Drosophila melanogaster: one gene and its partners. The protein of the gene in region 3 interacts with the protein of the main gene of each other region in a pairwise test. Each region holds a gene or a part of one and is shown on either strand. Other genes may lie near its edges.

Evidence for each region.
Region 1: the proteins of Kah (region 3) and zld interact in a two-hybrid assay, tested with the Drosophila melanogaster proteins (one large-scale study listed by BioGRID).
Region 2: the proteins of Kah (region 3) and CG31612 interact in a two-hybrid assay, tested with the Drosophila melanogaster proteins (one large-scale study listed by BioGRID).

What each region holds. Positions count from the first base shown.
Region 1 is NC_004354.4:19,781,420-19,785,176, reverse strand, and holds the start of zld (zelda), read left to right. Parts: upstream 1-1,628; 5' UTR 1,629-2,323; exon of another isoform or gene 2,324-2,668; 5' UTR 2,669-2,890; coding exon 2,891-3,757. UniProt on the Drosophila melanogaster protein: Transcription factor required for zygotic genome activation (ZGA), a critical event in early embryonic development during which the developmental control passes from maternally provided mRNAs to the expression of the zygotic genome after fertilization.
Region 2 is NT_033779.5:21,793,778-21,797,534, forward strand, and holds the start of CG31612 (uncharacterized protein), read right to left. Parts: upstream 1,671-3,757; 5' UTR 1,617-1,670; exon of another isoform or gene 1,469-1,616; intron 1-1,468.
Region 3 is NT_037436.4:587,274-591,030, reverse strand, and holds the start of Kah (kahuli), read left to right. Parts: upstream 1-1,756; 5' UTR 1,757-2,068; intron 2,069-3,757.

The DNA of each region.
Region 1 (3,757 bases), on a different chromosome or scaffold from region 3:
AATCGTAGATTGGAAAAAGCATACCCATTCGAAAGACGAAAGATCGCCTGCATCTTTGGAATATATATGTACATACATACTTATGCATACTTACTTACATGCTTAGTCTTCTTCTAGTCTTCTATTTAAAAAAGTTTCTCTAGTGAGCTTATGATCTTATGACAGAATCTGATAACAGGGTATCCGTTAGTCCTAGCTTACGATTTTTTCCTTTCTTTTTAAATGTAGATTAGCTTTCGTTGTCTCTCAGCTCTGCACTCCCGTATGCCCAACGCAATAAAAGTTTGGTTTATTAATTTTTTGAACGTTCTCAACTTTTACGAGGCCCGTGACGTCGATAATCGTCGGTTGCCGGTCGCTCAGAAACTAGGCTAGTAGTGCGAATTGGTTTTGGCCCGGTCCAGTGAGTCAACATCTGACTAAGACGCTTCGAGGAGTCTATTAATAAGCCGCCGTTCGTACCAAGGCTAAAAAAAAAAAAACGGGCACAACTGAGCAACCAAGCCTAGAACTGCAACACAGCTTTAAATTAGGCGAGTTGCGATATGGTAATCGGTGGATCACACAAAAGGGCCAACCAATCTTCGCTGTGTTCTTGAAAAATCCACATTATCGCCACTTAAGCTAAATTTTGCTATTACAATAGAGTACATAAACATTTATTTATATGGTAAGTTCTTCATAGCGTAGATGACTTCTACGAACTGCCAGAGTTTTAAGCTAGAGATCGGAATAAACATTTCGAAATCCAACCATCCTAAAGAAAACAATTTCATATAAAATTTTTAGTGCCTAGGGCGGCTTAAATATATGCAGTTCGCTGTATATATCCAGAAACGCAAATACAGCGAAATAATTTCATAAATAAACAGTGGAAAATCATTTTAACACGATCAAAGCTATTGATTTGCTGCTAGAAAGGCAATGCAGAAGTTGTGTATTATTACAAATACACTTTACAATTGCGATCCATCCAAATTCTACGGATTGTTAAGTGCAAAACCGGTTATCAATGACCTTACTTAAATTACTTTTTTATAACCGTTCAGCAATTTTCTGTGGAAAATTGTGATGGCTTGCAAAAAAGGATTCAAATTTGTGTGCATTATAAAACGTATGTATATATGTGTGCATTATAAAACATATGTATATATGTATATTAAACATCAGTTTTCACTAATAATGCCATTCAAGGCATAAAAATATAAGCATTCAAATTGCGACTAATCGTTTATGTACATGTCTTCGAGAGGATTTATTAGTTCGATCTAAACAGATTGCAAAACTTAGGTCTCAACTAATGCTAATTATGCATGGGATACTTTATCTTGATTCCGAGCTAACTTGTGGTACTCTCAATGCAAAGGGTATTGCAAAGTAAAGGCAGCGCAAAGCAAAGGCAAAACCAAAAGCAAAGCAAAATCAAATGCAGCGGCGTTGACGGCAGCCGTGCGCGACAGAGACAGCACGCACATAACCGAAACGCCGCCGCGCAGTGTATATAGCGCACACACACACACAGCCACGCATGTGCGTCGACTGCGACGCCGCAGCCACAGTCGCAGCCGGCGTCGCTGCCGGCAGAACGGGTAGAACGAATGTGCCGCATGCACGGCGGTGTATTTGTCGGTCATTTGTATTTGGAACGCCGTAGCAGACAGAAGGACACGGGTGAAAAAGCGACGAAGCGTGCGAACGGAGTGGAGCGGCTACTTTTAGCGCCCTTTTTTGTTTCATTTTCCCCACTCACAAAACGCAACATTTTTGGCAACAACTTTTCGGCAAACCAATTGAAAAACAAACTAAACGAACTAATCGCGGCTCGGGAATCAACAACAAATTTAATTCCGATGCAATACTTGTGTTCGTAAACAATTTTTTTCTGTTCGATCCGATCCCCGATAAACGATAAACGCGAATTCCAGTGATCTTTTGGAAAAGGGCGAAGCGAAAAGCGAACCCAAACCGAAAAACTCTAAATCACCGGTAAAAAAAAAAGTGGCGAGAGAGAGCAAGAAAGAGAGAGAGAGAGAGATAGGGAGAGTGTGATCACATCGCATCGCCATTCTCGCTTCCCTCGCAATTCGCAAAAACAAAATTCGAAATTCAAAATTGACCAGCATTCGTTGCGGTTCCGATATTGGTTTCTTCAGTTCAGTTCAGTTCAGTTTCGTATTATTTATCGAGTCTGCTGTTGTGTGTCTTTCGTTTCGCCGAAGAGGAGCGGTGAAAGAGAAGAAGGAGGAGGAGCGGAGCAGAAGAAGAAGGAGCGAAGCAGAAGTCCAAGTCCAACGAAGAAGTGCCCAAAGCGAGGCGCAGATAAGTAAGAAAAGCAAAAGAGAACGGAAAAGGGATCTTCATCGAGGATCCTTCATGTATATATTTTTTTCGAGTGTGTGTGTTAGTGTGCGTCGTGAGCGTCCATGTGTGCTCTCCACAAACAATTGCAGTTGACATTACGTTCGCAAGTAAAAGCTATTGTATTTCCACCATACAAATCAAATTACAAAAGTGCCTGCAATTTCGCATCGAAGTGAAATGGACACCAAGAACCGTTAGACACCAAAAGCTTTGAAAACACAGTGTGCATGTGTTTGTTTTTTTTCCGTTTGCAACTCAAGTAACTTCAAACTAATAATGGCTTAAACAATAATTGGCTTATTTTCAGTACAAATACAAAGCACAAAAAAACAAAAAATCACAAAAAAATAAAACGAAACGAGAGCATATAACATAAAAACCCAAAACAAAAACGATCGGCTCAGCAGAGCCAACGAAAAGCAAGCAGCGTAGCAGCAGGAGCAGAGGATGCACCACTGATCCCGGAGAGCTCGAGACATGAGAAGCGAAACACCGAGCAGCCACCAAGCATCGACTTATGTAGCGGTCCATGACGAGCATTAAGACCGAGATGCCGCCCCTGCACGCGGCAGAGGCGCTCGCCTCCAGCAGTGCTACAGACAGTGGTGGGGGAGGAGCAGGAGGAGGAGGAGGAGGAGGTGGAGGAGGATCGGGCGGACCAGGAGCGGGAGGAACGGGAGGCGTAGGCAGTGCGCCCGCCACACCCAATGCCACAATTAGCGCCGCCGCCGACTCCAGTGATAATCAACCCGGCACGCCGCAGCCCACGCAACAGCAGCAATCGACGCAGCAACAGTTGCAGCAGCCACAATCGCAACAGCAGCAGCAGCAGGCCATGGGTGGAGGAGATCCCCAGCAGCAGCAACAGCAGCAGCAGGTAACGGGTATCACCCACCAGCCGTACGCCACCCACCACATGTACTCCGCATCTGGCGGACAGCAGCAACAACAGCAGCAGATCTACGGCGGACTCTACGGCGGGGACATGCAGCAGCAGCAGGGTTACGCCAGCAGCTACATCAACAGCTACGAGCAGTTCTACCAGCAGCAACAGCAGCAGCAGCAGGGCACTGATTACGCCTTTGGCACCGTGGGCGTTGACTATGGCAAGAGCGCCGGTGTTCGCTATCATCCCTACCTGCAGACGCCAACCTCCGGACTGGGAGGCATTCCAACGGCCAGCTCGGCACAGGAGGAGGCGGGCAGTGCGCCCAGCGCGGTCAGCACCACCACAGCGGTGGCCATGAGTCCGCGTGTGGTTAGCAGCAGCAGTCCAACGTCGACGTCCTCGCACCTGCAGCTGGGCAGCTCCAGTGGCCAGACACCAGGCTCACCAGGCGGAGCCGCCGGAAGTGCCGGATGCAAGTTGCAGTGCAAGAAGTGCGGCATCCTCACC
Region 2 (3,757 bases), on a different chromosome or scaffold from region 3:
TTTGGCAAATAAAATGAGAAGATATGACAAAATTGTTCTAATATGTTGTCCTGGCCGTTTTGTGCGTTTTGTAGGTAGTTAGGAGGGGCGTAAACAAAATGTTTTTGGTACAAAGAATCTATAAAAATTGGCAATTGACATTTCTATTACAATGTCTCTAGAATCTGTATGCTTAGTCTCCTGATCTCGACGTTTATAACGACGGGCATATGTATATGGCCAGATCGACTGGGCTATCAATGAATGATACATATGTACATATATTGATACATATGTATCAATGAATTAAACCTGATATAATAGCAAATACAGCTCCTATAGATAACACATAATGAAAATGAGCTACTACATAAGTATCATCTATAATAATATCTACTTATGAATATGTACATATATTCTTTCAACGAATCTAGTATACCATTTTACTATAAGGGCAGAAAACTGAAAACATTTTGTAAAAGTGTGGGAGTAAATTTTTTGGCGGTTTTGTGGACGTTGACGTGGGCTCGGCAACATTCTGCAAAAACCTTGATAGCTAAAAATTTCGGCTTTTTTAGTTTCCGAAGTCTCGACCATCAAACGGACCAACTCTTCTCTCTATGTCCTTTTTAAACAACAAGTAATAGGTGTAGAAAAAAACAAGTTTTCCGTGTAATTGTTTATTTAATAATATATTATCCTAGGGAGATGCAATCCTAGTAACATTTTTTGAATAGCAAAGAATAATATTTTAAATCATGTACATGTACGTTAAATGTTTGAAAAAACTTAACAAAAGTGAATTTTTTCGTTACTATGTATTCGTCGACGCATTGTTGGTTTACCTTTATTTTTTATTTCATTTTATTTTCTTCCGATTTAATTTGTAAAATGATTAATTTTTTCAGAAATGGCGACAAATGGAATTAAATTTGTTTCTCCCATAAAATTCGAAGTAACTCATCCATCTTTCGAAATCACTCAAACATGCGAGAGCGAAACAGAAACCGGTCGCGCTCTTGTGCTCACGAGACAATAACTGTTCTTGCTCTTTCGCTTGTCGAATTTTCGAAAACAGTCTGTGGACAGAGGCGTTCGGATGAGGGTCTCGAACTAGGAAATTGTTACAAAATATATGGTAACATTTCGCTAATAATAAACAACGAAATATTTATTTATTAGTTCTTAAACGTACTCACAAAACATAGGTACCATATCAACCACTAATAGATTCTTTCAAGTTGTTAGCTTACACGAAAATGTTTTAACCCCCTCTTGAGATGTACGCCACTGACCCTACAAACCGCAAAACAGCTGATTTTTGTCGGTATGCAAGCAAACCTTTAATTAATGACAATTTAATGGCCAAAAGCAACCAAAATGTATTTACCAAACAATAATTCCATAGTATTTACCTTAGTTCAAGTCGAAACATAAATATGTTCATTTTATTTTATAATTTTGGGGTATACATATGTATATTACGAACCTGTGGATCGGAGTGCAAGTAGCAAGGTTGGATTAGAGGAAATAGTTTTTTCTCATCAAAGCAGAGCTTAAACACTGTTGCTGATGCGTATTTTCATTTAAATTCGATAGAACAAACTGTAAAACACAGATAATAAAACATAATTCACAGCGCACTTTTCACCAGCAAGCGTACGACGCACGCGACGAGTTGCTTCTCCCACAAGAAGTTCGAAATTCGAAATCGTTTGTGCAACTGAGAGAGAGAAGTTCGAATATTTGAGTGGTTTTTAAGTTCGAAAAACACCAGAGATTTCTGATTAGGGGGTAATTTACTTACAATTTTTTTTGATTGGACTTCGTGATCTTTTTCATATATACATTTATCGAGCTATAATTCCTAACGGTTAAGGTCTATTGGGGTCTCGAGGTTAATACGAACGGATAGATTGAGATGGCTATTGATCTTAATAAAGAATATTTGGATCGGTTCTGTCTAGTTTTTTTACTCAACTCTTTTTTACTTCTTATTTAAATATTTTAAGGTGTAGAATATGTTTCGCAGTTGTGTCTCATCGTTTGTGTCCCAGATATGTATGTATTTACAGCTGTGTTCAATAAAATAGCAGTGCGAGGGAAACTAAGAAATACAAAGGTATTTTCCCTTTTTGGAATCGACTTTTTATTTCACTTATTTTTGTAAAATGGAATGTGTATATAGGAATAAAAAGAAAATCCCAATAGTTTTTCATGTTATCCTTTTCTGCTTAAATTCTTGAGCAAATTCACAACTTTTATGCTGTTCATAAGAATAGCAGTGTCTGGTTTTGTCCAACGTAAAGTCCCGAAAATATCAATATTTTCTAACGTGTGTTTGGTTCGTATATTTAAAAGAGCAATAATTAAAAAAAAAATAAATAAAAAATATTGTATATTATAGTAGATAGAGAAAGAAAAGAATGTTAATTCACCAATCAAAGAAAACATTTCACACATATTCTGCCTTCAGTTGTGTCCATAGAAATCGGGGACACAAGGCAAATCCATTTATATTGCGAAATCAAAACCATTTTTCCATGTCATTGGAATCCTCCACTAGAGGTGAACTAATTGCGTGTTCAGCGCAAAATCTTTTCGATTTATCGCCTCAGGTTGATTTTATGCTTCACATAGACACCACACAGCCGCTGCACATCCACATATTGATGCAGCATCCAAAGGACCGAAATGAGAGGTGGGCTCCAGAGGGCAACGGAGCGAATACCCGCTGATTTATACGCTTCAATCCCACATTTTTGTTTCTTCGGCTGCCATTTAGCTAAAATATTTCATATCCGAATTGCATCGCCGTCTCGAGCCTTCGCTCCTTCGTCTTCGTTTGGCTGCCAGGCAGAAGACTAGAGCGGGACGCACTGATGGCAGAGAGTGGGAGCGAGAGGGTACGCAATGGACAGCCGCTTCCCCGTAATTATGCGATTTGTTATTCGAGATTTGAGGCGATTGTGACTGGGCACCATGTAGGCGAGGAGGCGCTGAAGAAGCAGCAGTTCCACCGAGAAATGATTTAAACTGCGATTTCAATTCTGGCATTTCTGATTCGCCCAGTGTCTGTGTTGCAACTTGAGGCCCTCCCATACCATCTCCACAATCCGCCGCGCGGACCCCGGACACCGCAAGCTGAATTCGACACGCCAAGATCTGAGTATCCCAAATGATAATGCTGCGGCCATTGCATGTGCGATGGGCAGTCAGAGTCGGACGGGCGGACTGACTCCGGACCAACGGACAACATCCATTCGCTGACTGACTGACGTACTTGGGGGCTGACTGATATGGGTGGAACCAAAAGGCTCACAGAGCGGCGAAGTCTTCTTGCTGGACGCCCTGCAGCAGACATTATAGCCAACGAAAAATATTGGTTATATATTACAGTTTCTCAATATTTTAGTCAGATTCCGAAACCAAGCGAGAAAAACGAGTCATCGCTACCCTACATCAGGACAGTAAATATATGTAAGTATACTAGATTGTAAGTGTACTAGATAAGAATGTAGAATCAGTTTTAATCAAATGAAGTATATCTTGTGCCCTTCGTACACCCCGTGGAGCACGACTACAGCGTTCGCTCTTGTACAGTAAAAGGGTATACTACAAAAGATTCGTTGGATGAAGAAAGCATTTTCGACTATATAAAGTATATAAATTATTGATCAGGATCAATAGCCGAGTCGATATAGTTATGTCCGTCTATCCGTATGAACGTCGAGATCTCAGGAACTATAAAAGAGAGAGCATACAGATTCTAGACCCA
Region 3 (3,757 bases):
TACCACTCAAATTGCATTTCCATGTTGGCGCCAGACAAAGCCCACCCCTTCTTCCCCTTCCTTCCCTTCCTCTTAGCTTTTCCATTCGCCACCAAGCGATTTCCTTTGTCTTCGTCGCGTGGGCAGCAAGTTGTAGAGTGTGAAAATGCCACAAGAAGTGCGAAAAGTGCGATCGGGAAATAAAGTCGCGGACAGGGAGCCACTAAACACATTTGTTGGCCACAAGGGGTGGCCTTATAAATAAACCCATTACAATCCCCGCCCAACTGTAAAGATCTTTTGTGAAACATCAAAATCCAATTCAAACCAGAACCATAAACAGAAACAGACACAGAAACCGCCGCTCGGCATAAATCATATCGAATATATAGAAAATACGTTAGCACCCAATACATCTGAAGACCCCAACCGAAAAAAAAAACACCCAAAGGGGCGACATTAAGTTCATTACGCCTGAAAAGTCGAAAATGAAAAGTGGAGGAAACGAGAGAAAACGGCAACACCTGCGAGAAATCCGTTGGATTTCTAAGGCCAACGGAGGTGGGGAATCTGCAGAGTGCACACTTTTGGGGGCGGAATGGAATGGGGTGGAGAGGTTCAGGTGAGCGAGTCTATTTTGGATGCCCGCAACAAGTACGCAGGCGAGGAAAATGCCAAATTGCATACGACTGCGTCACTCTTCGCGAAGAGCACCCATTCCCATCCCCATCAGCCAACAGCAGGAGAAGAATCCGAGCAGCAAGAAGAGTGGGAGAAGACGGGTAGCCGGCTCGGCTACCGAAGAAACTGCCCAACCACGAAGCGAGAGTAGTGCCTCTCTCTTTCTAGGCAAATCAGCATGGGGCAGGCGAAAACACACTGACACATGGGGCAAATTCCCACAGTCGAGGTCACCGAAATATCACTAGCTAGACTAGAGGTACAGCTATCAGTCTATCGAATTGATAATCTTCTCGACATACAAAATTAAAACAGACTATATATTGATTCTACAAGGGGAAGTAGGCAACTAATATATAAAACATTTATCTTAACATGTGAGACTACATCCTTATATAGCTCAAGTAATTAATTTCATCAGTTTACAACAAATACCACAAATACAAAAAAAAAAGACCTATTACAACAACCCTGTCTGTTCTTCAGCGAGTGTGTAAGGTTTTTGACACTGACTGCGGATCGTTAGAAGAATTCTGCGCAGTGGTCCTGCCAGCAGGAGCGCCTCGTCACCTCGGGCACAGTTTTCCCTTTCGGAAAATGCAATGGAAAGCCATGGCAGAGAGGGCTGCGCAGAGAAAGGGTAGCGCAATGAAAACATTATTGTTATTTTTAAACCGCGCACACTTGTTCCGTCGCTGTTGCGTCGTGGTTCGTTCTCGAAGTCATGTTCGATCCGATGCCGATGCCGATGTCGATCCGTACCGTTCCGATCCTCGGCAAGAGCGACCAACAGCTGCTGGCTCTGCGTCAGCTTCGTCACCTCCTCGACGTGGATGCGGATGTACACGGAGCGAAACGGGGGGTCCCATGCCAGAAATAAATCCGAATGGAAATAGCTAAATGGAAATAACAGAAACTGCAATACTAATACAGTTGGGGTGCATAATACAGAAGTGTAAGGCTATTTTTCTCAGTGTACGAAAATGTAGGAGAGGATGGGAGACCGAGACCGCGAGGTGGACGCCGCCGGAGGCAGAAGAATCGCCGCGGCGGCAGCGGTCGCAAGATGTAAAAACTGTAAGTGGTCTGGCGAAGAACGCTCAGTTCTTCCTGGGATCTCGCTGCGTTCGCTCGCCTTCACGGATGCGCAATCCGTCCGTGCGACTAATAAATCCGTTTGACACTTATCGAGATTCAGTGCGATCCCCAAAATCAGCATCACCAATCACCCATCACCCATCACCCGTTGCCATCGCGGACTCTTGGCGGGTGATGAGATTCGTGGAATTTGCGCTCCGTGTGTGATAAAGCATTGACTTCCCATCGGCAACTGAATCATCCGTCTATATTCGAGGCGGAGCGACGACGGCAGTGGATTGTTTTCCGTCAACTATTCGAACTGCGTGGGGTGAGTTGGCGAAATGTGAACGGAAGGTGGTGGAAAGTGAACTTCGCTCTTCAAATTTGCACCTTTACCGCCTTTCGATTACACAATAGAACACACACCTCGCTCGTGCATAACTATCTGCCCAGGAACCGAAACAAGATCGAAAATCTGCTTGGCAAATTGGGCCAACAGATTCGCGTGACTGCAAATGAGCGGCGTTTTCCGATCCCCATTGCACACCCCCCAAAACCCCCCCCTTCACTCCACCCAACCAACGGACAGAACGGGCCGCACTTGTTAAATTAATATTATTATTTCTTTTGATATTTTGACATTTACGTGAGCAATGTTTGCATTGGCAATGAGCTTCTGCGAACGGGAAATAGTGACCGGGACGTACGAGTATAGTATAGTTGGTATCTTTCCGCATGACTATATGCATTGGTATGGGTATGGCCATTGTCTCGCGGTGGTAGATGCGTAGATCCTCCGTCCAATTTGGGCGCATAAAGCGGATAAACAACAGATCATACAGTGCATACATATGAACCTGATTAATGCGGCGGTTCGGGGATAATTAACCGCCGTGATTTACAGGTGAAGCCCGCTCCTTTGTGTCCTTTCCCGTCCAAATGTTTATGCCGCGGGTCCGTAAACAAACCGCCGGCAACGGGAACTGCAGTTGAGGCAACGATTGATGAGGGCCTGCGATCTGGGGTAAACAAAAACTGATGCCCAAATCCGACATATCCACTGAGGCGCAGTGGGTGGGGGTGGTGTGCCTACTGTATGGCATACACGCTGTCTATCCATGGTGCATGGCATTGACTCTGGACTGGGAAGCAGCCAGAGGTTGAGGCTGGCGCTCTGGATTTTTGTTTATTGTGCACTCGTATTTAGCCTGAACTAAAATGTAAACTATGCTGGGATCACTGCCCCTTCCCCCTGCCCCTGCCGCTTGGGATCAGGCATCAGGTATTTATAGACGCCTGGCAGCGAGGGGAAGACGCATGTTAAGGCCACCGAAGCCACCTCTGTTGGCCATCGCCATTCTCTTGGCCTCTGTGTACATTAACAGGACTTTGAACTCTTCCCCGGTCCAGCAATACGGACACGGTCTACTCGGGCGAACTGTACGGCCGGAGATCGGAGATGGGAGATGGGAGACCGGAGGGCGGAGACCACGCAATTTGCGCAGATCTGCGGCGGCATGAAAAGGAAAATGGCAGGCGGAGAGTAAAATAATTCACCCGGTCCGTGGTCCATTGTTCGGTGCACATGGAACGACCAAGTTGCGGATGGGGGAGCAGAAATGAGTCATCCAACTGGGGGGACTCTAAGCTGCTTAAGTACACTGTGGGAAAACTGTTGCTCAAAAAATATGTAAATTATAACATATATGAGTTACTCACACCAAAAACAGTAGTCATGGAAAACTCCAAATATATATTTCAACTATTTCTGTTCTGCTCCTTCGATCGGATCGACTGACTCCTCGTTTAAGAAGTTCCTTGCGTTTTCCATTCGAGTCCGATGCAAATGTACATCGTCGATCCCTACCCACCTTCTTCCTGTCATCTGCGATTACCGACCGATCTGCAATCGCACGGGGCCGAGGAATAATTAATTAACGACCTGTCAGAGAAACATGCGACATTTCGTATGCCCCAAGCGACTCTGACATCGGAAATATGGCACAGACATATTTCA